7 linked regions of the Macaca fascicularis genome follow. The protein of the gene in region 1 interacts with the protein of each later gene in a pairwise test. Links are inferred from orthologs where the notes say so. Each region holds a gene or a part of one and is shown in the gene's direction. Other genes may lie near its edges. The genes, in order: REL, NGB, EXOSC1, IL36RN, CDKN2C, MAGOHB and OTUB2.

Evidence for each region.
Region 2: the proteins of REL (region 1) and NGB interact in binary tests that used the Homo sapiens proteins (3 or more experiments, as listed by UniProt). The two-hybrid records come from large-scale screens. The link is inferred for Macaca fascicularis from reciprocal best matches to the Homo sapiens genes REL and NGB.
Region 3: the proteins of REL (region 1) and EXOSC1 interact in binary tests that used the Homo sapiens proteins (3 or more experiments, as listed by UniProt). The two-hybrid records come from large-scale screens. The link is inferred for Macaca fascicularis from reciprocal best matches to the Homo sapiens genes REL and EXOSC1.
Region 4: the proteins of REL (region 1) and IL36RN interact in binary tests that used the Homo sapiens proteins (3 or more experiments, as listed by UniProt). The two-hybrid records come from large-scale screens. The link is inferred for Macaca fascicularis from reciprocal best matches to the Homo sapiens genes REL and IL36RN.
Region 5: the proteins of REL (region 1) and CDKN2C interact in binary tests that used the Homo sapiens proteins (3 or more experiments, as listed by UniProt). The two-hybrid records come from large-scale screens. The link is inferred for Macaca fascicularis from reciprocal best matches to the Homo sapiens genes REL and CDKN2C.
Region 6: the proteins of REL (region 1) and MAGOHB interact in binary tests that used the Homo sapiens proteins (3 or more experiments, as listed by UniProt). The two-hybrid records come from large-scale screens. The link is inferred for Macaca fascicularis from reciprocal best matches to the Homo sapiens genes REL and MAGOHB.
Region 7: the proteins of REL (region 1) and OTUB2 interact in binary tests that used the Homo sapiens proteins (3 or more experiments, as listed by UniProt). The two-hybrid records come from large-scale screens. The link is inferred for Macaca fascicularis from reciprocal best matches to the Homo sapiens genes REL and OTUB2.

Annotation. Positions count from the first base shown.
Region 1 is NC_088387.1:61,082,560-61,087,101, reverse strand, and holds the start of REL (proto-oncogene c-Rel), read left to right. Parts: upstream 1-1,603; 5' UTR 1,604-1,697; coding exon 1,698-1,788; intron 1,789-4,542. UniProt on the Homo sapiens protein: Proto-oncogene that may play a role in differentiation and lymphopoiesis.
Region 2 is NC_088381.1:145,214,617-145,218,835, reverse strand, and holds the start of NGB (neuroglobin), read left to right. Parts: upstream 1-1,279; 5' UTR 1,280-1,566; coding exon 1,567-1,655; intron 1,656-3,073; coding exon 3,074-3,185; intron 3,186-3,814; coding exon 3,815-3,934; intron 3,935-4,219. UniProt on the Homo sapiens protein: Monomeric globin with a bis-histidyl six-coordinate heme-iron atom through which it can bind dioxygen, carbon monoxide and nitric oxide.
Region 3 is NC_088383.1:106,390,094-106,393,838, reverse strand, and holds part of EXOSC1 (exosome complex component CSL4), read left to right. Parts: intron 1-2,120; coding exon 2,121-2,154; coding exon of another isoform or gene 2,155-2,161; intron 2,162-3,076; coding exon 3,077-3,127; intron 3,128-3,559; coding exon 3,560-3,644; intron 3,645-3,745. UniProt on the Homo sapiens protein: Non-catalytic component of the RNA exosome complex which has 3'->5' exoribonuclease activity and participates in a multitude of cellular RNA processing and degradation events.
Region 4 is NC_088387.1:20,067,863-20,072,394, forward strand, and holds the start of IL36RN (interleukin-36 receptor antagonist protein), read left to right. Parts: upstream 1-1,640; 5' UTR 1,641-1,684; intron 1,685-1,854; 5' UTR 1,855-1,881; coding exon 1,882-1,910; intron 1,911-3,290; coding exon 3,291-3,376; intron 3,377-4,532. UniProt on the Homo sapiens protein: Inhibits the activity of interleukin-36 (IL36A,IL36B and IL36G) by binding to receptor IL1RL2 and preventing its association with the coreceptor IL1RAP for signaling.
Region 5 is NC_088375.1:183,769,947-183,774,216, reverse strand, and holds the start of CDKN2C (cyclin-dependent kinase 4 inhibitor C), read left to right. Parts: upstream 1-1,379; 5' UTR 1,380-2,481; intron 2,482-2,939; 5' UTR 2,940-2,950; coding exon 2,951-3,079; intron 3,080-4,270. UniProt on the Homo sapiens protein: Interacts strongly with CDK6, weakly with CDK4. Inhibits cell growth and proliferation with a correlated dependence on endogenous retinoblastoma protein RB.
Region 6 is NC_088385.1:10,340,200-10,344,738, forward strand, and holds the start of MAGOHB (protein mago nashi homolog 2), read left to right. Parts: upstream 1-1,544; 5' UTR 1,545-1,606; coding exon 1,607-1,700; intron 1,701-4,539. UniProt on the Homo sapiens protein: Required for pre-mRNA splicing as component of the spliceosome. Plays a redundant role with MAGOH in the exon junction complex and in the nonsense-mediated decay (NMD) pathway.
Region 7 is NC_088381.1:162,059,320-162,062,749, forward strand, and holds part of OTUB2 (ubiquitin thioesterase OTUB2), read left to right. Parts: intron 1-979; coding exon 980-1,064; intron 1,065-1,607; coding exon 1,608-1,802; intron 1,803-2,737; coding exon 2,738-2,944; 3' UTR 2,945-3,430. UniProt on the Homo sapiens protein: Hydrolase that can remove conjugated ubiquitin from proteins in vitro and may therefore play an important regulatory role at the level of protein turnover by preventing degradation.

The DNA of each region.
Region 1 (4,542 bases):
AATTCATTTTTCTTATAACCATATAATTTTCAACTTTAGTTTTATCATCTTTAAGTTGGGATAATAATTTCTATTGTTTTTCAAATGGAGATTAAAGTTAAGAGGATCAAATGAGAAATGTATATAAAAGGGTCTTTCAAAAGTGTTGTAATTACAATAATTAACTTTTTGTTCTATATACTTGATGCTGGTTGCTCATTCTAGCAATAAGATGTTAGTTAATGTGTCTATTTCTGATAATTTATGATCCATTTAAACATTTATTGCAATGTAATTTTTTATCTTAAAAACTCATACTTTATTAAATAGGCACTATGTTTTAAAATAGCACTCTTTCTTGCCTAAGTGCAAATAAAAACATAAATATATCTTACAAACATTTTGACTGTATTTCAGATATTATTCTGATGTATATTAGCCTTTTAAAATACTCTTCAGAATATAGGGGTCAGTCCCAACTTTGCATAGTATTGCTTAAAGAAAAATACAGTAATCAACTTGTTTAGAGCCAACTTTGGAGACGTTTTTGTGCTTTTCAAAACTGTGGCGATTTGAGGTTATCTTAATTAAGAGTACTTATTTTCCCTACAATTTCCTGATTTATATTTTACCCTCTTCCACTCCATAGATGACTACTTTTCAGCACATTTTATATTCAGGAAGAATGGCACTGCGCAAAGCACAGTACTGAGGAAGGAAATAACTGGTGCATTGTACTGATGCATTATATAAATGATTTATAGCTGGGAAGTTTTTTAAAAATCATAAACACAGATAAATCGAAATATGAATGAGTATGAGGAAATGCTGAGGTGTAGCAATCCTGGTACCTACAAAGCACTATTTTTTTTTTTCCCTTGGTAGTGGAATCTAATTAAAAAATCTGACTAATCACATACATGATTATTTAACGTTTGAGTAACTTGTATAAACAAAATACCTTAAGATATTTTAGTCATTCATTCAATAGGTGTTTAATGAATATCTGTATACAAGGCACTGATGAGTAAAACACAATTTCTGCCTTCAAGTAGCTTGAAGAAATAAAACAAGTAGCTTTATCTCAAGAAGAAATAAGATGGTAAGTTTAATTTTAATTAAATAAGATGGTAAGTTTAATAAGATGGTAAGATGTAATTTTCCCTAAATTACAGTTATTTGGAATAATTACTATAAACAGAATACTATGGTAGTTTAAAGGAGGGGAGATTATTTCCAGCTGGGGGAATGTAGAGCATTACAATATACTCTGTTACTTGGTTGTAATACTCTACATTCCCCCAGCTTGTTAATTTTTACCAATTAAGAGCTTCTGCAATAAGAAAAATAAATTCCAAGGATTTTAAATACTCAATATTATATGATAACCAATATTTATATAATTTTTACTATTTAAAAATATTTTATTTAATCTTTTCAACAACTACTTTTCTGTTCTTTTAATAGACATTTTAATAAACAATCTAAAGAAGTGTCTTGTAACCAATGAAGTTTTGTTTTGTTTTTGGTTTTGGTTTTGGTTTTTTTGAGATGGAGTCTCGCTCTGTCACCCAGGCTAGAGTACAATCGTGCAATCTTGGCTCACTGCAGCCTCTGCCTCTTGGATTCAAGCAATTCTACTGCCTCAGTCTCCTAAGTAGCTGGGATTACATGTGCCTGCCACCACATCCAGCTAATTTTTTGTATTTTTAGTAGAGATGGTGTTTCACCACGTTGACCAGGCTGGTCTGGAACTCCCGACCTCAAGTGATCCACCCACCTTGGCCTCCCAAAGTGCTGGGTTTACAGGTATGAGCCACCATGCCCAGCCTCAGTTAAATACTTGAATGCTCACTATGAACCTAGAATTTTAATTCATACTCTTCCCCTCCCAAAGTTAAACACTTATTAACGATGTCATTTTATTTTATTTTATTATTATTATTTTTTGTTGTTGAGATGGAGTCTCGCTCTGTTGCCCAGGCTGGAGTGCAGTGGCCGGATCTCAGGTCACTGCAAGCTCCGCCTCCCGGGTTTACGCCATTCTCCTGCCTCAGCCTCCCAAGTAGCTGGGACTACAGGCGCCCACCACCTCGCCCGGCTAGTTTTTTGTATTTTTTTTAGTAGAGACGGGGTTTCACTGTGTTAGCCAGGATGGTCTCGATCTCCTGACCTCGTGATCCGCCTGTCTCGGCCTCCCAAAGTGCTGGGATTACAGGCTTGAGCCACCGTGCCGGCCAACGATGTCATTTTATATCAGTTTCCCACCAAGACACCTTTAAATAAGTAGTGGGCGGGGATTTATTTGGCTTTTACTTCAGCCACATAAATTATTTAAAATGTCACTTAAAAAATAATGTTGATTTTAACAGTTTTTAAGAGGAAAATATACTCTTTCTTAAATACTCCTACAAGGATATATAAGGGTATGAAATATTTGAAATTGCGGCCAGGCGCAGTGGCTCACATCTGTAATCCCAGCACTTTGGGAGGCCGAAGTGGGCGGATTACGAGGTCAGGAGATCGAGACCACGGTGAAACCCTGTCTCTACTAAAAATACAAAAAACTAGCCAGGTATAGCTGGCGTGGTGGCGGGCGCCTGTAGTCCCAGCTACTCGGGAGGCTGAGGCAGGAGAATGGCGTGAACATGGGAGGTGGAGCTTGCAGTGAGGCGATATCACGCCACTGCACTCCAGCCTGGATGACAGAGCGAGACTAAGTCTCAAAAAAAAAAAAAAAAAAAAATTTGAAATTGCAGTATGAATTTGAAATATTTGAAATATGCAAGGATAAAATTGTGAAATACTCATCTGCATATCTTATGTTTTTGAGTAAAACTGAAATAAGGATTATGTATGGGTTAAAGTCAGTTTTCTCTGACTCTTCATCTTTTGAATAAACAAATAGGTAGTAGATTCAAGCACAGAGAGTTTGCACCATACAGAATAAAATTGAAAGTAATGGTAATACTTTATTCAGTAACCCAAAGTAGAAGCCATGGAACCATCAATGATTCTTTAATTTCTGAGCCATCAGTGATTTTTTAATTTCTCTTAACCCTAATGTTCAGGCACCAGGTGCTGTCAATTTTATCTTTTAAATAATCTTTCATTCCTTTTATCACTGCCATATATCAGACATACTGTCATCATTGCCCACATTATTATAGTGGTCTCTAAACTGATCACGTTGCTTTCTTTTTTCTGTCTGCTGTGACCAAAAATTTTTTTTTTTTTTTGAGACAGAGTCTCGCTCTGTTGCCCAGGCTGGAGTGCAGTGGCCGATCTCGGCTGACTGCAACCTCTGCCTCCCGGGTTCACGCCATTCTCCTGCCTCAGCCTCCTGAGTAGCTGGGACTACAGGCGTCCACCACCACGCCCGGCTAATTTTTTTTATATGTTTAGTAGAGACGGGGTTTCACCGTGTTAGCCAGGATGGTCTCGATCTCCTGACCTCGTGATCTACCCGCCTCGGCCTCCCAAAGTGCTGGGATTACAGGCGTGAGCCACTGTGCCCCGCTTAAAATTTTTACTCTAAAACGTAAATATGATCATGTGATTTGCCTGCATCAAATTATTCATTGATTTCATCACACATAAAATGAAATCCACATTGCCAAGTGTGCTCTGACTTTTAGTTCTCTTTCTAAGAGAGGAAGTGTATTCCACTTACAAACATTGGTGATTCTTAAATAAACCCTCCTCTGTGGACACATTGTTCCCCTTTCCCTAGAATACCTAACTTTTTCCTCTTTATTTCCCCCACTCTTTTGCTTCATTAACCGCTCTTTTTCCACTGACACAGTTGGGCGTTCCTGACTCTTCCGCTCTTATTTCCACAAAATTTTGTTAGTGCTTTCCTTCCTTCTGTAGTCTAATAATATGTGTTGTTCGCCTTGCTCTTCTGTAAGGTCCTTTAGAGTGACAGTTGTGATGCCACCATGGTATCACTAAATCATTGTTATCAAGAAAGCATCTGAAATAATAGACACCATTTATTGAACATATATGTATATATGACACTTGGTAAGAATTTAGCACGTATAATCTGTAATCTTCACAACAACCCAATGAGGTAGGTGCTATTATGATTATTCCTATTTTACAGAGGCGGAAACTAAGAGATTTTAATTTTAATAACTTTTCTGTGGTCTTACTGTTAGGAAGTAGATGGGGTAGGATTCCAGAGGCCTCTTCTTCATACTGTTCTGATAAGGCCCACTGTGTTACCATTTCTCAGGATTGCTTGCATTCTAACAGGAGAAGCCTTAGTCGGCACTAAACTGATTAAGGGACCCTTTTTTTTTTTTTTAATGGAAAACATCTTCACACCTCTATTAACTCCCCTACTTGCAAGTACAGTTGAGTGTCTATTTACCTTTTCCCCCACAATTTGGATAATAAAAAATAGTAAAGTTACATATATTTTAAATAACTTTATTGACATATTGACATATAATTTATGTACAACAAACTGCACTTTTAAAGTATGCAATTTGATAATTTTTGACATACCTATACAACCTTGGAATCATCATCACAAGATAATTAACATGTCCATTG
Region 2 (4,219 bases), on another chromosome or scaffold:
CTCCTGCTCCAGCCCAGAGATTTGTGAGGAAATGGGAAATAGAATAGGGGATACCACAAACTCCTGAGTCCTTGGAAGAGGGAGAACAGCTACGTGGTTTCCTGGGGCATGGCTGGGAGCAGGAAAGAAGAGTTCTGCTGAGGCACTCAGTTCTGATTCAGGGCCAGAAGGAGACATTTTCAAGACCAGGACTCACCACTCCATGTCTAACACAGGGCTGGGCATGGAGCCCCAGCTGTTCATAACCGGGGACTCGGGAATACCCACCTTCTATCCATGGACCCAAAGGAGGTGGACTAAAAGGCCCCAGAGGCCTCGCCACCCAACCCCCTTGCTGCACAACTGAGGAAACAGGCCCAGAGAGGTGTGGACAGACAGAGGAGATAGGCTTGGAGACCCCTGAGGGAATAATGAGAGAGAAATAAAGGCGAAATGGGCTTGCCCTCCCTAACCTGGGTCACCAGCACTGGGCTGGGGTCTGAAGAACTTCTGCTTTGAAACAGAAAAGTTTAGTTCTAATTGACAGTTGGCCAACTGCACACCCTGAGTGAGGAGCATGGATTCTATCATCTGAACTTCTACTGAAAAATTAAACAGTACTTCCATTAAAAAAAAAAAAAAAAAGATTAAAAATCATGGAAGTGGGGAGGGCCCAGGGAGGGGAGAGGTGAAAAATTAAAATTAAAATTAAATCATGGAATGGTAGAATGTTGGAGCTGAACTCCCTCAAGATTCCACCCTGGCCAAGCAGAGCTAGAATTAAGTTTCCACCCTGGCCAAGCAGAGCTGGGATTAGAACTTGATCTCAGGGATTTCTAAAGATGGAGTCTCAGAAAAACCCAGGCCTGGCTGGGAATGGCTGTGGTCTTGGCCCTGTCCCTACGGCTGAAAGCCCTGGTGGTCCCCAACGTGTGCTGGTGCCCTAGTCAGACCGAGAACTAGGCCCCTAGGCCGCCTCCGAGGCCTGACCTGCAGGCCAGGTGGGTGGCAAACTCAAATGCCTCCAGCAATGCGTGAGTTGAGGGGCCTGTGGAGAGGGGGCGCACGCAGCGCCTACCTGAGGCGACCAAATTCAACACAGTGCCCTCGGGGCTCGGGAGGAGAAACTGAGGCCTGGAGAGCCTCAGCGATGTCTGTTACGTTCTGCAGGCCGGGCCTTTCGCAGGCCACCAGGTCGTCGCTGGCCAGAGCGGCTGGCGGAGGGAGCGCGCGCCTTGCTGGCCTGGAGGGGGCGGGGGCCGCGGCGGCTTTAAAGCGCCCAGCCCGGGCGTCGCGGGGCGGGGCGGCTCTCGCGGCTGCGGGGCGCCGGGCGCAGCGGCCGAGCGGGGTCCCCGGAAGCACAGCTGGGGTGCCTCCACCTACGGCTGTGGCCGTGCGCCTCTTCTCTCCCGCGCCAGGAAAGGAGCGGCTGCGGCCCCCGCCGGGCGGAGGCACGGGGGGCGTACGGGGGGCGTACGGGGGGCGGAGGGGCCCGTCGCGGAGGAGATGGCGCGGCATGTGAGGTGACGGCGCCCGAGCCCCGAGGGTCCCAGCCCCGCGCCCCGCGCCCCGCGTCCCCGGGACAGCATGGAGCGCCCAGAGCCCGAGCTGATCCGGCAGAGCTGGCGGGCGGTGAGCCGCAGCCCGCTGGAGCACGGCACCGTCCTGTTCGCCAGGTGAGGGCGGCCCAAGCGCCCGGGGGTGCGGGTGGAGGCTGCCTCGGCGGGAAAGGGGTCACGCGGCAGGACCGGCCCCGAAGGAGGGAAAACTGGCCGCTGCCGGGGCTCTGGGGCGGCTGCCAGATGTGCGCCAGAGGAGCGGGGCGCGGCGACGGATGGCACAGCCCCTCTGCCTCTCTCTCAACCGTGGGCGCCTGTTGCCAACCAGCTCCGCACACCCGGCTCCCAGCGGGGCTCACCGGGCCGGGCGGGGTCTCCTCCCGCGGATCTCCACACATCTGGGCGGGTGGACCTCCGTCCCCGCGCGGGGCCTCCACCCCGCCTTGTGCCTCCTGCGTGTGACTGCAGGGGTGCACCCCGCTGCAGGTATCAGGGTACTGGGGTGCCCCGAGGGCCGGGGTGCCCCGAGGGCCGGGGAGGGGAGGTGTGCGGGGCGAGCTCCTGCGCCCATGTGTGAGCTGTCTGGCTCCAGGTGTGTGGATTCCTGACAATCAACAAGACAAACCTTTCCGAGGAAAGAGCCAGAGAGCCGCCGGGGAAGGGGTGACAGATGCGGGAGCCTCACCGCAGGGGAGAAGGGTTGGGGGGTGCACAGGCGGGTGCACAGGCCCCGGGGGGAAGGGAAGGCCAGTCTCCAACCTCAGCTCGCCGTCTCGGTAACCCCTCCGCCATCAACAACCTAGCACTGCTTTCCTCACCGTGGTGTTCCCAATCCTTGGCACCCTCGGGCAGCCCAGAACTTCTGCCCAGGTTTCCGCAAAACCGCCCCCAATACAAAAGGGGAAAAAATTCAGTTACCCGGTGAGACTTCCCAAATGCCAAGGAGAGCCTCTGCTTCTGCCTCCAGACTCCCCCAGCTCACTTTTTTCTCGGGCACCCGCTGTGGCTCCACTACATCCAAGCTGTGTGACTTTAGACGAGTTCTAGCCTCGCCGGGCTTCTGTTTTCTCCTCTGTAAAACTGGGGTAACAGTTGTACCCACTGCTTAGGATGGTGAGGAATACAGTTAAAAGTTAAGCACACGGAAAGTACTCAGCACGGGGAGGGGGGTGGGGGTGGGGGGGAGAGAGAGAGAGCGAGCGAGCGCTCTCCACACAATGTAATTCCAGGTTTCCTGTTTGGGGACATCTTCCTGTCCCAAATCACACCCTTCAGCTATTCATCGAGGGGCTCCTGCGTGCCAGAGGCCCTGGGACACATTTGCCCTTTCTAGGATGCTGCCCAGAGCCAGTAGGTGTGAGGAGGAGGGCACTACCAAAGCTGGCTAGGGAGCAGTGCCAGGTGGGAGAGTCTGCTGTGGTTTGCAGCTGAGACCCGGCTCGGCACCCCCGCTCTCTGACTGCAGGACAGCCAGGCTTGCTGGGGCTTGCAGGGGCTCACACCTCAGGGCTAACACCTGGGCCTCACCCCCACAGACTGTTTGCCCTGGAGCCTGACCTGCTGCCCCTCTTCCAGTACAACTGCCGCCAGTTCTCCAGCCCAGAGGACTGTCTCTCCTCACCTGAGTTCCTGGACCACATCAGGAAGGTGAGAGGGAGGCAGAGCTTCTGTGACCTCTGGGATCCAGCAAAGCACCTCCCTGGTGGAGAATGGGGAAAATGACTTTCTGCCCCAGGCCTAGTTTTACTCCCCTCCTGTTCCCCCAAGCAGGGTATCAGCTCCTTTCCCTCTGGACTGGATTGGTCTGGGACATCAAAATCAGCCTCTTTCCCTACCCTGTGTTCAGAGAGCTGGTCCCAGCCTCTGTCATTGCCTTTGTCCCCTGGCTCCCATAGGTTGTGTTAGCACAGATCCTCGTCATTGGGAACCATCTGCCTATGAAAACCAGGCTGAGATTTTCTTAGAATCTCATGATTCTCAAAGGGCCTCAGTTTCTCCTTGTCCCGGCAGACAACACTCTCCAGTAGGCGTGTTTAGAGACGTGAATTCCTCAGAGGAGAGAGGCTTCCTTCATGGGTGTAACATTAGTAGTTTGGCCACCATGTATCATGTGCCCCCTATATGTAGTAGACACAGGCTGCCTTTGACCCCTGATCCTGGAAACTGAGGGTCCTGCTGGCCTCTCTTGCTTTGGGACCCTCATGCCTTGGGCTGTGATTGTGAGAAGATGTGGCTGCTTTAGCCTCTCTGTTTCACTGCTGCCTTGGCCTTGGCAGGTGATGCTCGTGATTGATGCTGCGGTGACCAATGTGGAAGACCTGTCCTCACTGGAGGAGTACCTTGCCAGCCTGGGCAGGAAGCACCGGGCAGTGGGTGTGAAGCTCAGCTCCTTCTCGGTGGGTAAAGGAGCTCTGACTCTCTCCAGAGCTCCTGGCCTGGGGCCACTTCTCTCTCCCAGACTTCCCCTAGCCACCTGTTCTGTCTCCCATTCCCATATCCTTAGATAACCAGGGCTGTGGGCCTGCATCTGTTACCTGCTGTGTGGCCCTGACATGGGCTTGACCTCTCTGAGCTTCCAAGTTCTCTTTTCTGATATGGCTTCTTTTAAAACCATAAAAGTTAAGGAGCCTTTGGGATTAGCTGGTCTGCTCAATTTCCTAGTGCTATGTATCAAACAACCC
Region 3 (3,745 bases), on another chromosome or scaffold:
TGCAATAAGATTAGGATAGACTAGGACACCAGAATTTTGAGCAACAGTTACAATTCCTATTTTTCTCTTGCCCATTTTTCTTTCTTCTTTGTGCTTTGATTCTCCCCTAGTAGTATCCAAAAATATGTGGATGAGCTAGGACAAAAGGAAAATATTAACAAGAGAGGGTTTAAAAGTAAAGCAAAGGCTGGGCACAGTGGTTCATGCCTGTAATCCTAGCACTTTGGGAAGCTGAAGCGGATGGATCTCTTGAGATCAGGAGTTTGAGACCAGCCTAGCCAACATGGTGAAACCCCGTCTCTGTAAAAAATACAAAAATTAGCCGGGCACAGTGGCTCACACCTGTAATCCTAGCACTTTGGGAGGCCAAGGTGGGCAGATCACAAAGTCAGGAGTTTGAGACCAGCCTGGCCAATATGGTGAAACCACGTCTCTACTAAAAATACAAAAACTAGCCGGACATGGTGGCGTGTGCCTGTAATCCCAGCTACTCAGGAGGCTGAACCCGGGAGGCAGAGGTTGCAGTGAGCCAAGATCGCGCCACTGCACTCCGGCACAGGGTACACAGCGAGACTCCATCTCTTAAAAAAAAAAAAAAAAAAAAAAAATTAGCTGGGCATGGTGGTGCATACCTGTTGTCCCAGCTACTTGTGGAGCTAAAGTGGGAAGATCACTTGAGCCTAGGAGGCGGAGGTTGCAGTGAGCTGAGATTGTACCACTGCACTCCAGCCTGGGTGACAAAGTGAGACCCTGTCTCAAAAAACAAATAAATAAATGAAAAGTAAAGCAAAAAGAATTGAGTGAAGCTGAAGTTTATCAGTGTCAGGATGACTCAAACCAAAGTGGAAGGCATTCTAGGAAGCACTTTTTAAAAATTTTAATATAGATTGAACTCAGAGGTTATAAAACATTGAAAAGATTTGTGAGTGAGACGGTGATTTCCTGTGGCTTCCTTGAGAAAGGACAAACATTTCTTGCCAGGCAGATAATCTAACTTTTGAGGCCCTTTCCAGCCTCAGGATTTGATGTGGTTCTGTAGTGCAGCAATCTCCAAGCTTCTTGGCACCAGGGACCAGTTTCTTGGAAGACAGTTTTTCCACAGACTGTGGTGGGAGTGGTTGCAGAATGATTCAAGTGCATTACATTTATGCTGTACTTTATTTCTATTATTATTACACTGTAATATATAATGAAATAATTATACAGCTCACCATAATGTAGAATCAGCGGGAACCCTGAGTTTCTTTCCCTGCAATTCGATGGTCCCATCTGGGGGTGATGGGAGACAGTGACAGATCGTCAAGCATTAGATTCTCATAATGAGTGGGCAACCTAGCTCCCTCATGTGCACAGTTCACAATAGGGTTCATACTTCTATGAGAATCTAATGCCCACTTTGATCTGACAGGGGGCGGAGCTCAGGCAGTAATGTATGTGATTGGGGAGCAGCTGTAAATACAGATGAAGCTTGCCTGCCACTCACTTCCTTCTGTGCAGCCCGGTTCCTAACAGGCCACCAGAACTTGGGGACCCTTGCTATAGTGCTTCTGTTCAAGCCCTGAGGCAACAAAACTCCTTATCGTTTCTTGCCAAATCTGATCTGCCTTTATCTAATCAGGTATTGATACTGCTGCTCCGTGTGGTCTGAGGATGCTTCTCCACCCTGCTCCTCTGAGTAGCAGCTGGGTCCCAATTAAGACTTGTTCTGTCTGTTCTTGTAGCTCTTTATTTACTAGGAATCTACAGAATAATTCTTTCTCACAGGCTGGGCAAGGTGACTCATGCCTGTAATCCCAGCACTTTGGGAAGCTGAGGCGGGTGGATCACCTGAGGCCAGGAGTTCAAGACCAGCCTGGCCAATGTGGTGAAACCCCATCTCCACTAAAAATACAAAAACTAGCCGGGCGTGGCAGCACATGCCTGTAATTCCAGCTGCTTGAGAGGCTGAGGCACGAAAAATGCCTGAAGCCAGGAGGCGGAGGTTGCAGTGAGCCGAGATCGTGCCACTGTACTCCAGCCTGGGTGACAGAGGGAGACTCTGTCTTAAAAAAAAAAAAAAAAAAAAAAAAAAAATTCTTTCTCACAGATAATTAATCTTTCTGTTAATTCTTTTTTTATAGCAAGGAAGATGTCCGAGCAACTGAAAAAGACAAGGTTGTTGGTTGGTTCTCTTTTTTTAACGGCTTTACAAATCTCAATCCCTTAAAAGTATTATCTCAGACCAGGCATGGTTGCACACACCTGTAATCCCAGTACTTCGGGAGGCTGAGGCGGGAGGATCACTTGAGGCCAGGACTTCAAGACCAGCCCTGGCAACACAGTGAGACCCTGTCTCTACAAAAATTTTAAAAATTAAAAATTAGCGGGCATGGTGGCTCATGCTTGTAGTCATAGCTGCTTGAGAGGATGTGGCTGGAGGATTGCTTGAGCCCAGGAGTTTGAGGTTATGTGGTGGCACAAACCTGTAGTCCTAGCTACTTGGGAGGCTGAGGCAGGAGGATCCCTTGGTCCAGCAGTCCAAGGCTGCAGTGAGCTACCATTGCATCACTGCACTCCAGCCTGGGTGACACAGTGGGATTCCACCCTTAACAAAAAAGGGCTGGGTGCGGTGGCACACACCTGTAATCCCAGCTTTTTGGAAGGCCAAGGCAGGCAGATCACGAGCTCAGGAGTTCAAGACCAGTCTGACCAACATGGTGAAACCCCATCTCTACTAAAAATACAAAAACTAGCCAGCGTCATGCTGCGCGCCTGTAATCCCAGCTACTCAGGAGGCTAAGGCAGGAGAATCGCTTGAACCTGGGAGGTGGAGGTTGCAGTGAGCCAAGATCGTACCACTGCACTCCAGCCTGGGCAACAGAGCGAGACTCCATCTCAAAAAAAAAAAAAACAACAAACAACTTTTCATTTGTATGATAATACTATAGAAGCAATTAAAAGTTGTTGACTTGACATGAGTAATGATGATTTCTACCCTCCAGGATTAGAAAGTAGACTGGCTTTACCAGAAGGGTTCACAGTTTCATATAGACCCAGTCTAGAACTTTCACTTACCATTCCTGTTCTTTCTTTACAGGTTGAAATTTATAAGAGTTTCCGCCCAGGTGACATTGTCTTGGCCAAAGTGGTATCCTTTATTCCCAGCAGACTTCTGGGTTTTTGTCAAAAGAAGAGATGGAGGCTGGGCGTGGTGGCTCATGCCTGTAATCCCAGCACTTTGGGAGGCCAAGGCGGGTGGATCACCTGAGGTCAGGAGTTCGAGACCAGCCTGGCCCAACATGGTGAAACCCTGTCTCTACTGAAAATACAAAAATTAGCTGGACGTGGTGGCGCATGGCTGTAATCTCAGCTACTCGGGAAACTGAGGCAGGAGAACCGCTGGAACGCTGGAGGCACAGGTTGCTGTGAGCTGAGATCGCGCCACTGCTCTCCAGCCTGGGTAACAGAGCAAGACTCCGTCTCAAAAAAACAAAACAGAGAAAGTAGAAAAACAACTCAGCTGACTAAGGTTGGGGGAAGACTTCTAACTCCTCATTTTCCTTCAGTGTTATGTGACTAGATCTCCCTAGGTGATGCACAGTCCAACTACCTGCTAACCACTGCCGAGAACGAGCTGGGAGTAGTGGTAGCCCACAGTGAGTCAGGTGAGATGGCCTTGCTTCCACATCCTTACTTTCCCTGGAGCTATGGTTTGGGATTAATCCATTGTTTTTCCTGGTTTCCCTTATCTGGGAAGCAGTATGGC
Region 4 (4,532 bases), about 41 Mb from region 1:
ATTTATTTATTGAGGCAGAGTCTTGCTCTGTCATCCAGGTTGGAGTACAGCGGCTTAATCTTGGCTCACTGCAACCTCCGCCTCCCGGGTTCAAGCAATTCTCATACCTCAGCCTCCTGAGTAGCTTGGATTACAAATGTGCACCACCACCCCGGCTAATTTTTACATTTTCAGTAGAGGTAGGGTTTCTCCATGTTGGCCAGGCTTGTCTCATTTCATCTTATTTCAACTGCCATTTCTATTTGGTCAATTTGTAATTTAATAATTTTGTACAAGGCAGTTTCTACATTAATTTTATTTTTTGAAAACTGTCTATCTTATTAGTGGCATTGTGAAAATCATAGATTATTTTCTGTCTTTTGAACAACTTGATATTTTATTTATTCTCAATCACCTGTAGGACCTCTTGGCTCATATGTCTGAATACCATTTCTTTAAAATGTATGCTTTAACAATAAATTATTAATAAATACTCATCCGTGTTATTCAAGATATAATTAAATTGTTTTTTGTGCACTGACTCTTACTTTTATTTCAGATCCATCACAGAGAGTGCATGGAGGTATTTAAACTGCATTAACTGTTTCACAATTACATATTATCTTATCAATTAGGTATTCAGGAAAGATCACTTACAGAATTATAGATGGCATGAGCTAGATTTTACTTCCTAAGGAAATAATCAGATACATGAGCAAAGATGTTAATACAAAGATGTTTGTCACAACATGATTTTCAATAGCAAAGAAAAGAGAAAAATGTATGAAAGACAAATAACAGTGGATAAATTTCAATAAATAATGTTACAGTGATACAATTAAATACTATACAGCTATTCAAGCATGTCATCATTCATATTTAATATGGAAAGATATTTTGCTATTTTGCTACATGAAAAAATGAGGTTGGAAAAAGTACAGGTTTTGTGAATCTGTTGTGTGAAAGCTGTCTATAGTTACACGTGTATGTGTGGGGAGGAAAAAGTGTTTCATTGGTTTTCTGATGATGCACTCAGAAAAGACAAGTATTCACATTTTTCATTGTGGCTGATCTGGATTTTCAGGTTTTTCTACAATGAACATGTAGGTTGAACATTCCCTGAGCAGGAGAGTCCCACCTCCAGTATCTCCTGTAGGCCTGGCAATGGCAGGCAGGAAAGACAGAGGAAGGAAGGAGGGAGAAGGGAAGGAGTGAAGGAAGGAGTGAAAAAGGTAAGGAAGAAAGGGAATGAGGGAGGAAGGGAGGAAATGGGGAGGGAAAGAAGGAAAGGAAGGGAAGAGGGAGAGAGGGAGTGAATGAAAGGTGGAGAGAAGGAAGAAAGGGAGAGAGGCAGGCAGGAAAGAAAGTCAAGCCTTCCTTGAGCTGCCATGGGCACTGACTCTTAGGGTCTGGAAGCTCCTGAGATGCAAAAGCCGAATGCTCACAAAGAGCTGGAAAGCCTCAAGGAAGTTCTTCAAAATTGCTGGAAGGAACTGTCTCCAGAAGCTTCCCTCCCCACGACAGATAATGAGGAGCAAGTGTGTCTGGTGACTTAGGGTGGTATGAAATCACGCTGGGAATCCTGCTCCTCCTCAGGTCCTGGCAGTTTCAGGGCCCCTCCCTAGGCCTTACTTAAAAGGCTGAGGCATCTTTGCAGGAACAAGCAGACTCCACAGTTCCTGCCGGGAGAAAGGAACATTCTGAGGTATGCTCTGGGGCGCTGGTGGGGCCGGAGCTGTCTCCTTATCCCAGACCCAGAATCTGCTCTGTGGAAGCTGTTCACATGCTGGGGGGCTTGGTGTGGCTTCTTGCTCCCCAGACCCCAGCCAACTCAGCCTCTCTCTCCATGATTTTCTGTTGTTTATTCCAAAATAGGGGAGTCTACACCCTGTGGAGCTCAAGATGGTCCTGAGTGGGGCGCTGTGCTTCCGGTGAGTGTATGAGGCCCTGGTTCGGAGGTCCTCTGGGGGAAGTGAGTTCTGGATAGACCCGTTGTCCAGTTCTGAGCAGGAGGGAGGAAGGGAGGGACAGCCATTGCAGCGGGGAAATTGTGACCAGCACCTCACTACTCTTAGAGAAGTTTTCCCAGCCTTTTTCAAATAGGGCCAGGACTGGGGCAAGCCATCTCACAAGGGTTCCCTGACGCTGAGGGGGACAAGTGAACCACCCAGTCTAGAGCTGCAGCCAAGTCTATCCAAGGTGGGAAAGGGAGCCAGGATCCCAGCTCAAAGCTCCGCCATTGACCCCCAGCACAGCGAATTAATGTCAGCTCACCCACTCTGTGCTCCTACTGCCCTGCTGCTCTTTGGGGATAAAAATAAAACAAAACCCATGACCATCAGTCAGTCTGTCCACCCACTGGCATGTACCAAGCCAGACACACTGCCGTGCTCTGGGCTTTACAACAAAGGATGAGAGTGGCCCTTTCTCTCAGTCTAATAAAGCACTTCCCACAATGTGTTCTATGGGACTCTATTAGAGGAGGCCCATAGAGGCATCCAGGAGATGCTTTACACAGTAGAGCTCTCTGATCAAGTAAATGCAGGGAATTCTCCTTTCTACATCCTCTCATAAGAGAACCACAGTACAGCTCAGCATATGAGTGACTCTGAGACTTTCTGAAGTAAGGCAACTTGTTGAATCATCTTTAGCCATGTATCGACCCAGTTTTTATACTGCCTCCTTTTCCCCCATATAACTTTTGGAGAAACCCACTTTAGGATACATCTTCCTCCTCGTAGGATGTCAGGAAATGAACTTAGTTCATAGATGAGAAACAACTTTGAAAAGTAAAATAAAAGAAATTTAAATTGAAAGAAACTCCTCACTTAGTAAGGAATATATGGCCAAATAGAAATACATGTATCTTGAAGAACTGAAGAATCAGGCTTTAATCTGGAAGAAGCTTGGGTGTTATCCAACCCATCATCTTAGCAATGGGGAGGCTCCGGCCCAGAGTGGGCGAGAGAGTTGTCTGCTGCGACTCAGCAGCACCGGAGGCAGAGCTGGGGCAAGAACCTAGGGCTCTGACTCACTGTGCAGCTTTTCTTCCAATAGGAGATGGGTTGGGGCAGAAAAGGTGGAATAGGGTGAAGAAGCAAACCACAGACCCCAGTGGGAGACTGTGGGGTCATCCTCATGGTAGGGCATGAGCCCAGCAGGGCTGGGAGAGAAGGCTGCGCTGTTACTTCTGGCACAGTAGGAAGAAAAAGAGACAAAATGCCTGAGATCAGGGAGTTCTCTGGACCGAAGGCATACTGGAGTGTACGCCCTCCCCCTAATGTAGTCCTCACCCCTTCCTGATGTTTCAGAATGAAGGACTCGGCATTGAAGGTTCTTTATCTGCATAATAACCAGCTTCTAGCTGGAGGGCTGCATGCAGGGAAGGTCATTAAAGGTTGGTGATGAAACATGACCCACTTTCCTTGGTCTCTATACACTCTGAAGGGAGGGGGCCTGAAGAGGGCTTAGAATAGTCATACAGGTGAGCACAGGCCTACAGAGCCCAGGCATTCGGGCAGCACAAACCAGCCTCTAAGCAAAGGCAAATAAAATACCACACCTCTCAGCAAAGGGAAGACACAGGCTCTGGGGCCACCTGAAGCTTCTATGCAGAAGTGGGAATGTTTTCCAAGAGGCTTGTCTTGTCATTCCCTTACAGGTGGATTTAGGTCAAGCATTGCATTCCCTGGGAGCCAGTACCAAGCAGAGAACTAAAGTAAACTCTCTACACCTTTTTTCCCATATGGGAGTCAGTTTCTGCCTCTCCACCCTGGGTCCCCTCTGCTCTCTGAAGATCCTCAGTCACTCAGAGTGGGAGGGACCCAGAGAACAGGTGGCATTGTTGGACCTCCTGCTTGCTCACTCTGCCCCACGCACTGCAACAGGTCCCTCTCTAAAATAGTTCACACCTGCCCACCTGGCGCACATTTGCTGAGCACAGATGCCAGGTAGATATTCAGCTAGGCCATATGTGTATGTGTGTGCTTACTGGTGTATGTACGTGTACATGGAGGCATATATGTGTAAGCATATGTGTGCATGAATGTATCTGTGCATAACCATGTATGTGTGAATGCAGGTATGAATGTGTGAGCATGTGTGTATATGTATATGTGTGCCTGCATGTATCTGTGTGTGTATTTGGGGTGTGCATATATGTGTCTGATGTATGTGGGTGGTGAGGGGATGTACAGAGAGGAATGAGACCCTCTTTTGCTCTCAGCAGCCTCACAGGGTGTAGAAAGTTGTCCAAACAACTCCAAAGGGGGGCTCATCAAGACAGGCTTCAGAAAAAGGCCTGAGACCCAACGGACCTTTTTAAAGGAGGGGGTTGCATCTATTTTGGGGTATAGAGGCTTGAAGATTTGACCCTGAACTAGAGGGTGGGGTGGAGGTGGTACAATGTGCTTCCATGCCTTGATGTCCGCTCTGGGCCAGTGGACAGGAGAGGCCATGTCATGACAGCTGCTGAGAGGCCTCCCTTCTGCCCAGCCTGGGGGCAGGCCGTCTCACAGCAGTCCTGTGCCCCAGAGCCCAGGCCAGTGGCAGAA
Region 5 (4,270 bases), on another chromosome or scaffold:
TCTACCTACCAGTCAATCTGCTGCTGGATGATTATCCAGATGTTTCTGGTGTGTTTTGTTGCTAACACTCTCAGTGTACTTCAAGAAGGGTACAGATACTGCTCGAGGATCCGCTTGCCAAAGTCCGGTTCTAATTAGACTTGTCATTTTTTGCTTGGTTTCATTTTGACCACTGGGTGCATCATGCAACCGTGTTGGATATTTTTAAGAGTATAAAAATATAGAAAGCAATAGTTAATTAATCTCACTTTAAAAGAGGAAGTTAAAAGTACTGGAAATTCGTGTCGGATGATTAAATAAAGGATTAGGAGAGAGACCATTCCTTTACATATAGACACCCTCCCCAACCCCACACCCCCAAAACACCAAGCCATTTCTAAGTAGTGAGAGAACTTCGGCAACAAAGAAATAGCTTTGTTAGAAAACACTTCACACGACTTATTTTAAATTTTGCTTTAAATTTAATTGCTTTTCTCCTTTTTCTCTAATAACAGGACTATTTAGCAGTTTCTAGTCCTTGATTAAGGCTTCAGAGTTCATTCTTATCTATGCCATGTCTTAAGTTTTCATAAAATTCAATCTATACAAGACTTGCTTTTTGTGAGCACTGTGCTTAGTGGCAGTCCGGATTTTTCCCTCCACCCTCGCGGCCACCCCTGCCCACCGCGGCCGTCGGGCGTGGATCTGGCAGGTGCGAGGCCGAGGCCCAGGGCTCAGCGAAGGAGGCCGAGTTTACAGAGCGCGCGCGCCCTAGAGGAGGCAGCAGCAGCCGCAAGCCTGGCCGCCCGAACTTTGCGAGCCTGGCGGGGGAGCACAGAGGCTGGCCGACCTGCCCCGCTAGCGCTGGAGAACGACTCCCTTTATGCCAGCTCGCTCTCCGCCTTCCCGCAGCCTGCGCTGCGGAGCCTCGAAGACTCCGCCGCCCTCCACAGCGTCTTAAATAACAAACCCCTGTCCTCGCGCCCGTAGGAATTGGGGCAGCTGGGGGTTCGCGTCACAGACTCAAGCCCGCCCGCCGGAGAAGGGCAGGCCGGGCTTCGCGGGGCCGAACCCCGCTCCAGCTGGGGACAGGCCGCCTAGCCGGCGGGAGAGAGCCGGCGCGAGGGAGCCAGCGCAAGAGACTTGACGGGAGGAGGTGGAGAGCTAGAGGCGGGAATGAGTGCGCGGGGCCGGGAGGGCGGAGCCTGCTAGACTGCGAGCGCGAGCGCCAGCAGGGCGGAGGGCGGGGCGTGGGCGGTGCCCGGCCTTCCCGCTTCCGCGGCGCTGCAACTCCGCCGAGCCTCCTTAAAACTCTGCCGTTAAAATGGGGGCGGGTTTTTCAACTCAAAAAGCGCTCAATTTTTTTCTTTTCAAAAAAAGCTGATGAGGTCGGAAAAAAGGGAGAAGAAACCGGCACCCTCTCTGAGAGGCAACAGAAGCAGCAATTGTTTCAGCGAAAAAAGCAGCAAGGGAGGGAGTGAAGGAAAAAAGTAAAAAAGGGGGCGACACGCAAGTGCCCGTAGGGGTGAAAGGAGCAGGGACCGGCGATCTAGGGGGGAATCAGCTACAAAAGAAACTGTCACTGGGAGCGGTGTGGCCAGGGAGGAAGCAGTGCTGCCAGGCTCGGCTCCAGGGCACAGCTGGCTGGCGGCTGCCCTGTCCGCAGCAAAGGGGCACAGGCGGCCAGGGACCGCGAGAGGTGGCGAAGTGGCACCGGGCGCCGAAGCTGCTGAGCGCTCGCCGAGACGGCGGCGGGTCTGGCTGCGCCCTGGAACTGTGGCGACTCCCCCTACTCAGAACTTGGCCTGCGTTTCCCAGGACTCTCCCCATCTCCGGAGGCTCCCACAAAACCGGGAAAGGAAGGAAAGGACAGCGGCGGCAGCAGCTCAATGAGTACCTACAACAGAAAGCCTGAACGAGCTCGGTCGTAGGCGGGAAGTTCCCGGGGGTCTGCCCAGTACAGCCGCAATGCTGCCGCGAGCTGCCCCAGCAGTCCGGGCCCCGTAGACGCTTCCCGCATCGCTCTCCTCCTTCCTCAGGCTGCCGGGAGTCCCGGGACCTGGCGGGGCCGGCATGACGGGCTTCTCGGGGGCCCGCCGCACGCCCGGCAGCCTCCGGAGACGCGCGCCGAGCCCGGCTCCCACGGCCTCTGAGGCTCGGCGGGGCTGCGGCTGCCTGGCGGGCGGGCTCCGGAGCTTTCCTGAGCGGCATTAGCCCACGACTTGGCCCGGACGCGACTAAACGCTCTTCTGGAGAAGCCCAGAGTACTGGGCAGTCGTTACGACCTGTAACTTGAGGGCCACGGAACTGCTACTCCCGTTCGCCTTTGGCGATCATCTTTTAACCCCCCGGAGCACGTCAGCATCCAGCCACCGCGGCGCTCTCCCAGCAGCGGAGGACCCAGGACTGTCCCTTCGGCGAGACGGATGGAAACCGAGCCCCCTGGAGGACCTGCCCCTGCAGTTCTGCCTCACACGGCTCAAGTCACCACCGTGAACAAGGGTGGGTGAATGCCTTTTCTTCCCCCCGAATGTCTTTCCTTCCGCGGTATTTTCTGCCCCGATCTATAGTCCCTTGAGTGTCCACACACACTCCTCACAGAGATCTGTAGCGTAGGTACGTGACAGCTCTGCCTACATCTGACGTCCGGAGTCATTACCCAGGAATGTATGTGTGTCTGTGTGTGTCTCTGTGGAGTCGTCAGAATTCTTCATAGGGGTTAAGCTAAAAAAGCGAGGCGAGGAGCCCCTCTCCAATGGCTCAGTTTTGCTGAATAATCACGTGTGAATCGAGGGGCGGGCTTTTGGCAGGCAGATCTTACTAGTATTTACTACCAAGCTCTACTCCAGATTAACCATCCCAGTCCTTCTGTCAGTCTCCGATGCCATCATGCAGCCTGGTTAGGAGCAAAGGAAAGGGAAAAAAGAAAAACGACTAATTCATCTTTTCCTGATCGTCAGGACCCTAAAGAATGGCCGAGCCTTGGGGGAACGAGTTGGCGTCCGCAGCTGCCAGGGGGGACCTAGAGCAACTTACTAGTTTGTTGCAAAATAATGTAAACGTCAATGCACAAAATGGATTTGGAAGGACCGCGCTGCAGGTTGGTATTCAGAGAGGTGGGGAAAACAAGTCAATAATGTTGCCTACGTGACCCGGTTTTCTAGATTTACAGCTTTTAAGCTTTCAGGGACATAAAATTTCACTGTTTTTAAACCTAGTTGGTTGCCATATTTTATATCTTTAAGTGGATGCAACTTCTCAAAATGACGTACTTTGAACAAACTCCTCAAATCCAATAACATCCTTGATATCAAGTGGGGTCCAGATTTGGTCTTAGTTTTTGGAATCTTTTTGTGACGGTGGGGATTTTAGAGTAGTCATTGTAGGGCCGAGGTTTGTTTGTTTTGTTTTGTTTTTAAAGACAGCTCTGTAAACACATTATTATGATTATTATTTGAAATACACTGCTATTAGTGGTTTCACGTACTTTGCCCCCAGTAATAGACTTTAACGTTAATTTTCTTGACTACTGGTGAGGGTGTTTTTCCTTCAAATGCTCCAAGTTTTGACAAACGACTTTTCCTCGTTTGGAATGGGTGGCCTGGGCACCGGGACAGGATGTACATTTCACAGTTAATGTAATACCATCCACTCATTCAGGAGTCGGGAGGAATAAAAAGTTGAATTTTCTAATCAGAGCTCAGCTGCAGTGTCTTTGTCTCTACGATTATGCCGTGGTGTGCTCTAATTTTCAGTAATTAGATTTACAGGCAACGATTGACACATGTCCAGCTGCCAAGTATTGTACCTGATAATTTTTTTCTTCTTCTGAATGTTATCATGTAATTTAGGTGAAAGGCTTAGAAACAGAAAAATGACAAAATAGTTTAAAATAGTTAATTTATCAGAGTTCTGATGATATTCTTATGAGCTATTCTTATTTGGAAATGCAACACTTGAAGCTGTTTTTGAAAACCCATTGGGGAGAGGGTTTTTAGAGGGCTTTGTTTCGGTTACAAGAATTAAAAATTTAAGTGCCAGGAGATATACTAGTAACAAACAAAGTCCATGTAGTCTGTACGTTTTCAATCAGAATACACTGGCCTTGCAAAAATTTCAGTATTAAGGAAGTTTATGCACAGATACTAAATTATTTATCTTGTTATTTCTGCTACATTAAGTAATGATTTTTTTTCTTTTTCTACCTAGTAGTTTTGAACAGGTTTAGTGATGATAGCAAAGTAACAAATTTAATATATTGAAAAGCTTCCTTTTGAAAACTCAAAAGATT
Region 6 (4,539 bases), on another chromosome or scaffold:
AACCTCTGCCTCCCGGGTTCAAGCGATTCTCCTGCCTCAGCCTCCCGTGCAACTGGGACTACAGGCACACGCCACCACGCCCAGCTAAGTTTTTGGTATTTATAGTAGAGACGGGGTTTCACCATGTTGGCCAGAATGGCACATATATTCTTAATTATAGCAATTGATCCATTGTGCCAATATTTGCCTTACAAGTTTGCTTTCTTTTCTAGACTACCAGTGCAAATGCCTTTTTATTTCTAGTTTCAAACTGTCACATAGGAAATGTTTGTTAAAACTAACGTTTTATAAAATTTAAAGCTTATTTTACATATCTCATTTGATCTCTCAAGAATTCTGTGAGCTTGGCAATGTAGATTGCTGTATATGCCTTAGGCTGATGAATAAACAGGCTTAGAGAGTCACTTGCCCGAGGTTAGGTAGCTGTAAGTGTTGGGATTGAATCCCAGGTCTTCTCACCACCACTTTCTACAAAAATCACTGAAGGTTGTCAACCAGCAGAGAGGATTACTCTGTGTGTTGATAACAAAAGGGTGATCAATAATATTTAAAAAGCAGACTTTGTGTAAAAGTCTTTCCCTTACCTTAAAAACTATGCCACAATGGAGCATTCTTTCATTCCTCCAATTTAATTATATCTGGCGAGAAACAGTAATGGGCTAAACCATTGTTGTATCTTAAGTCAAATTGCCAAAACTCCACAGGCTACTAAAAGTTAACCCTTACTGAATGAATTAAGAACCATAGAAGTTCTGCTGTTAAAAAACAGCACGGTGACAGTCAGGGTTTTTCAGGCGTAGGGGGTGTGTGTTTTAAGACTTTAAGCCAGTTTTGTCCCACTGAAATTACCGTCAGTGATTTTTAGTAGAAAGTGGTGGTGAGAAGACCTGGGATTCAATCCCAACACTTACAGCTACCTAACCTCGGGCTAGTGACTATCTCTAAGCCTGTTTGTTCTTCAGCCTAAGGCATATACAGCAATCTACATTGCCAAGCTCACAGAATTCTTGAGAGATCAAATGAGATCTCTTAAGTTCTTTGCTGTGATGGATTCCTTTGACTTTGTCTCTATTATTATAGGCTTATAGGTCCGGGGCAACTACCAATCGTTATTCAAAGGGGAAAGCACCCTGTTCGAAATCAAGTAAGAAAAATGGTTTATATTCCCGGTCTGCCATCTCTATTCTAAGCTTTATCTTTATTTAGCTCCCAGTTAAAGGGGGAATAGAGCCACACCCACCTCACAAACGCCCCGAGGACTGGGAGACCAGAAAAGTAAAAGCCACTTGCAAACCTAATTTAGCTCTAAGTCGATAAAAAATACTATCATATGCTCACATTTCTAATATTTGCTAATATAATGTGATCTTTATTTTGAAAATAATGTGCCTCCAATCCTAGTAAAGAGAAAGTCACGGCATGCGACTCTCCCTTCAGCACCAACTGGCCTCTCACGCGAGACTCGGCTTTCACGCTTTAGTCCAGGGCTGCAAGGCAGGCGGAAGAGAAGCGCCTGTGGTGACGCACTTATTCCGCGCGATGACGTGACTACAAGGCGCCGGGGGACACGTTGGCTGGGTTTTCGGCGGGCTTCCCGGGGACAAAAATGGCTATGGCTAGCGATTTCTACCTGCGCTACTACGTAGGGCACAAGGGCAAGTTTGGGCACGAGTTTCTGGAGTTCGAATTTCGGCCGGACGGTGAGAAGAGGCCCACGGCACGCGGTGCTGGGAAAGGGGAGCGAGACCGAGAGGCCGTGGAGGAGGCGAGGGGAGGCCGGGTGGTGTGGAGGGTACAGGGGGCGGAGGCCACTGCTTCCCTCGAAGGAAATAGGAGCTTAAGAATAGAGGAGGCCTAAGTTGGTTTTATAAATGAAAGAGAACTAATTGCAATAAATTAAAGCTAATCCTGTCGCAAACTGAAAAGTCGAACTTACAGTAATCAGAATTCTGTAACTGCACCAGAAGGGACTCTGTAGATTGTTGACCTGGATTAAAAATGCTAGCACTTTTTTGAAAACACCCCCATCAGCGGGTGGTCCAATGGATGAATAAAATCTTGTGGTGACCAGTACCTTTTCTTCATTCAGGCTGTGTGTGTTCTTTGAAGGGGAGGAGCCCGACGTGTTAACAAATGAGAATAATAATATGTTTTAGGTGTCTACGTATAATTGTTCACCACAGGACGCATGAAGAGTACCAAAAAAGAGGGGAGATGTAAAGTTCCACAGGAGGGAGTCAGGAAAATCTTCCTAGAGGAAGACACTCTTGAGATGAGTCTCGAAATGAGAGACTTGGCCTTTGAGAGAAAAAAACAGACTTCCAGAGCAGTGAGAGCAGAGGACGAGGTGAAACTGCTACCCCAGTAGCGTGCAACAATTTGTTTTCTGACAGCGCTATTAGAGAATGTTACATTGGTCCTGCCTACCTGCAACAAGAAAGTTCATTTGGATATATATGTTTTGGTTTTTTTTAAATGCACGTTTTTTGCTGGGCAACAAGCAAATACAAAATTTGAAGGTACACTAATGAGTAAGACAAATTTAACTCAAAGAGATTTGTCTTGGTGGGGACACAGACATTTAACTATAAAGCAGTAGGTATATTAATAAGCAGGCTTTGGACAATGTTCTGTGAGAGCAAGAATAAAAAATTAGAGGAGAAACGTATATTAGGAAAGGAGAAGAGTATCAAGCATTTCAGGCAGAACTCAGGTGAACTACAGTCCTGCAATTATTACTTTGAAACAGAGTCTCACTCTGTCACTCAGATCTGAGTGCAGTGGCACGATCTCAGCTCACTGCAACCTCCGCCTCCCAAGCTCAAGTGATCCCTCACCTCAGCCTCCCGAGGTGCTGGAAATACAGGCCAGTGCCACCTCGCCCATCTCCTTTGTTGTTGTTGTTGTTGTTGTTGTAGAGATGGGTTTCCGCATGTTGCCCAGGCTGTCCTCAAACCCCTAAGGTCAAGAGATTCACCAGCCTCAGCCGCCCGAAGTCCTGGGATTACACGCATGAGCCACCGTGCCAGCCCTGCAATTATTTAGAAACCTTAATCACTGTATTCGACCTTACTCTCCCCATAAATTCAGCTAAATTTACCTGAATTCATCTATTCTTTATGTAGTATTATTTTCAGTTCCTCTGCCTGTGAACACCGTCAAGCTTGTCTCTATTACTTTTAGCAGGTCACATAAATTAAGCACCTGAATATTATCAGGGAAGTTTTATGCTAGAACAGTGGTTCTAATCAATGTATCTGCCACTGCACTGTTACACATACTTCTTCTATTGGTAATATTGAGTCTCCCGAAGACCTGCCTGCCTGCCTGCCTGCCTGCCTGCCTGCCTGCCTGCCTTCCTTCCTTCCTTCCTTCCTTCCTTCCTTCCTTCCTTCCTTCCTTCCTTCCTTCCTTCCTTCCTTCCTTCCTTCCTTCCTTCCTTCCTTCCTTCCTTCCTTCCTCTCTCTCTCTCTCTCTCTCTTTCTTTCTTTCTTTCTTTCTTTCTTTCTTTCTTTCTTTCTTTCTTTCTTTCTTTCTTTCTTTCTTTCTTTCTTTCTTTCTTTCTTTCTTTCTTTTTCTTTTTCTTTTCTTTTTTTCTTTCTTTCTTTTTTTTGAGACAGAGTGTTGCTCTGTCACCCAGGCTGCAGTGCATCTCAGCTCACTGCAACCTCTGCCTCCTGGATTGAAGCGGTTCTCCTGCCTCAGCCTCCCGAGTAGCTGGGATTGGAGGCATGTGCCACCATGCCCGGCTACTTTTTCATATTTTTAGTAGAGATGGGGTTTCTCCATGTTGGCCAGACTGGTCTCGAACTGCTAACCTCAGGTAGTCCACCTGTCTCGGCCTCCCGAAGTGCTGGGATTACAGGCGTGAGCCACTACGCCTGGCGCCAAGCCATCAAAGACTGGCATTTCTATCATTTTAGAGTAACTGCTGCACCTTATAGCTGTGTCTGGGCAACTGACTAGCCATAAGGGGAAGCATACATCAGATAATACACAAATCATGATGGATTAAAATTAAATATAAACTAGCTAACAAACTCATCAACTTCGATCCAGAAGCATCGTTTGTATCCTTCTTAGTCATAATTCTAAAATGTCTACAGTATAATTGTATGCATACATTTGAAGGAAAAAAAGGAACATTTTTTTGTAGTGGAGAAAGCCTGAGTATTAAAAGAAAGTAGATCTAGGTCTGAATCTCCCATGTTTAAGTTACTTAACTTTGTTTTCTCTCTTATGAATAGGTGAGAGAATAAAACCTGATTTTTAGGATTGTTTTACAGATTAGATTAAATTCTCTGTGTAACGCACTTAACACCAATACATACATATAACAAACTTGAATGTTAGTGCCTTTTGCAGATTCTCTTTCTAGTTCATGATGTAGCTTAAGAAAATAGGCTGTAAAAATGACCCTATATCTATATGTTGTAGGCATAGACTATTTAAATATTTGGCTATCTTCAACTTCAGCAAACTTAACCAGCAAATATTTATTGTCTACATGTCTAACAATGATTTTACACAAGGAGGGAG
Region 7 (3,430 bases), on another chromosome or scaffold:
AGAAGTCAGCACAGGATCCATCCCTCCAATCCAGGCACCTCACTCCGCAATCAGGACAATCTAGTCCTGGCCCAGGCAGGACTCTTAGATATGCCGGGACCAGCCAGGGGCAAGCGGCGTCTAGGCAAACACTCCTACTTCTGAGTTAGGAGACTGGCTTCCCGTCCACACCCACCACCTTCTCCCTCCTCACCGCCCCCTGTCCTCCTACAAGGCACTAGGCTTTTCCGGAGCACAGCAACTTCTGAGGTGGCCCAGGCCTCTGTATTCCCTTGTGAAACCTGCCGCCTCTTGGGTCCTGTGAGAGCCTCGTCTCCGTTCCTAGGGAAAGTAAGGGGCTGGAGAACTAGGTGTGGCTTTAGTGTTCTGCGCCTGCCAGCTAGTCACCCAGGGCCGCTCACCTGGTCCTTGTGGGAGGCAGCCCTTCCTCCATACCTCATTGCTGCCACTAAACTTGGAGTGTCCTGGAGCCAGGGCCAGGCCCAGGCCCAGGCCTGGGTTTCTTGCCATGCTCCCTGAGGGTACCAGGACAGGTCCCAGAAAGGGGCTGTGCCATGAGGGGGCCTGCAGTGGGTGCAGAGAGGAACAACCCAGCATGCACAGAGCAAAGGCCTGTGGAGCAGGTCCCCAAGGGTGACTTGGTGCTGGCAGATGCTTAACAGCCGGCTTTGGGCGTGCGGGAGGCCTGGTGTGTGTTGTCAGTCGATTGCTGTGGTGTCAGTATTCAATATTACCATGAGTGAGTCAAGCTGCCCTCATGAGGTCACTGAGTAGGGAGTTGGAAAAGATGCAAAATCACACACGCCCTTGTCATATCGTCTTTCTACCATGCATACACACACAATGCAGCTCAGTCACCAGGGCCCGGGGACTAGAGATGAGGTTGGTGGGCGCAGTGGGTTGAGAGGGGGATGCACAGTTGACAATCACAGCACACTCGCTGTGTTTCCCTGTAAACACTCAGTCTACCCCCCTGTAGGTTCAAAGAACGTGTACTGCAGACCCCAAATGACCTTCTGGCTGCTGGCTTTGAGGAGCACAAGTTCAGAAACTTCTTCAATGCTGTGAGTTCACCTAGTCCCTCCTTCCACACTGGCAGAGCAGACAGGAGCGGGCACTGGTTGGAGCCCCGCACAGCCCACAGCTCTGCTTCTCCGGGCTGGGGAAGGACAGAGGGTTGCTTCCTGCTTGTGGGGGTGTGTGGGCACAGGGAGCCCAGGGCCCTGCCCTCCCTTTGGGAGGAGGCACGTCCTCCACCCTATTCCATCTCCACCTTGTGCCTCCCTATCCAATTAGTGAAGGGGTGGGATCGAGGACTCTGACGCTTGCCACTCTGAGTGTGCATGTGAGAATGCAAACCCAGGTAGTCATGGCAGGGAGACCGAACTGCCGCTCCCTAGACGTGCCTCTGGCCTAGTGTACAAAGTCTTGCTAACCCTGGGTTACTTAGCTTAGGCAGAATCTCAGACTGATTTTCTACTTCAACCTGAGAATCTACAAATGAAAATGCACGCGAGGGCTTCACGCAGAGGGAGGGAGCGGAGGGAGAATGCAGAGGGAGGGCTGGGGCTCGCTTGGCCTCCCTAGCTGAGGGCCGGGCGGCGCAGTTTTACAGTGTGGTGGAACTGGTAGAGAAAGACGGCTCAGTGTCCAGCCTGCTGAAGGTGTTCAACGACCAGAGTGCCTCAGACCACATCGTGCAGTTCCTGCGCCTGCTCACATCGGCCTTCATCAGAAACCGAGCAGACTTCTTCCGGCACTTCATTGATGAGGAGATGGACATCAAAGACTTCTGCACTCATGTAGGTGTTGGGGTCTCAGCCCCAGCCCCGGGTTCTGCTCCTGTGGCCCTCTCCCACAGACTGCAGCACCCATCTCTAGCCAAGGGACTTGGGTGTCACGACTGCCCTTGCAATTCAAACAGAGCTAGGTCAGCAAGCTGCAGACAGGTCTCACCTGAGCTGCCTGAGCTGTGTGGCCTGAAGCAAGGCACTTCCCTCCCTGGAGATTTCCCATCTGAAAAATAAGGGATTTGGACTGGCCTGTTTACAAAACCGCAGAGTCACAGTCCAAGAGTTACATTTGCTTGACGTGTTTATGATGCGTGGTATTTACCCGAAAGAATTGCCAATATTTGAAAATTAGGCACTTTTCATAGGAATATTTGGATTTCTGTTGGCAAATCAGAAGATCCAGCCCCCAGGCCCTTGCTCGTGCAGGACAGTATCAGCAGGCACTAAGCAGCAGCTGCCCTCTCTATGTGGGACGCACGCCTGCTTGCCACCGCCTCTGCCTCTTCCATCGTCTCCGCAGCATCCGGACTGGCACCCTCACTCACCAGCCTGGCCTCTGCAAACACTTAAGCTTGAAAGGCACCCCTGGATGTCAGGGTGCCTTTTATCTCTAAGATTCTTCGATGCCCAACCTGAAAAATTTCTGCCCCCTTTCCAGAGCCGTCTAAAGTAGTAGCCTGCTCTCAGGTGTAACAACAAGGTCTAGAATGGAAAAGATCCAGGTTCGATTCTTGCCATTGTAGCGATTTCTAGCTGTGCTGCCTCTCAGTGAGGCTGTTTCCTGTGTGACATGAGAATGTCCATACCCAACTCATGGGAAGTTGTGAAGATGATGTCCCAGCACAGAGGCTGTGACCATGACCCTGAAAGCCAGAGTTGAACTCACTTATCCTCTGCCAGGCCTCCCTCCTAAGCTGGTTTCTTTTCATTTTGGCTCCCTGCAGGAAGTGGAGCCCATGGCCACAGAGTGTGACCACATCCAGATCACGGCATTGTCCCAGGCCCTGAGCATCGCCCTGCAGGTGGAGTACGTGGACGAGATGGATACCGCCCTGAACCACCACGTGTTCCCTGAGGCCGCCACCCCTTCCGTTTACCTGCTCTATAAAACATCCCACTACAACATCCTTTATGCAGCCGATAAACATTGATTAATTTTAGGCCATGCAGTGGAACCTGTCACCTAATGGGACTGCATTCTGAATGGAACATTCCGGCTCTTCAATTTTTTAAGCAATTTAGACTGTAGCAAGAAAATGTGCAGCCTTTTGGGCAAAGCCCCTGGAACGAGGCCTACCCATTATGGACTGTGGTAACTTGGTGGTATTTTTAGTATTTATTTTAATGGAGGATCAAATGCTTTCTAACTGGGCCCCTGACAGTTCCCTGTGAGGCTGGGTGGGTTACCTGCCCTCTCTGGAATTGTTTCTTCAACTGGAGGAGGGTCCTGCCTATGTTGACATTGCATTGTAGAAAAATGGGGCCTCTGGTTTCTCTTTACCAGGGGCAGTGCCTCTCTGCGGGGGAGGAAAAGCTCAAGGTTAGCTGTCTTAATACAAGTGACTTACCAGGCCTACAGAGTCCAGTCCAGTCATTTGTTGGACTGGGCTCTGGCAGATGGCCTGTTGAGGTCAATT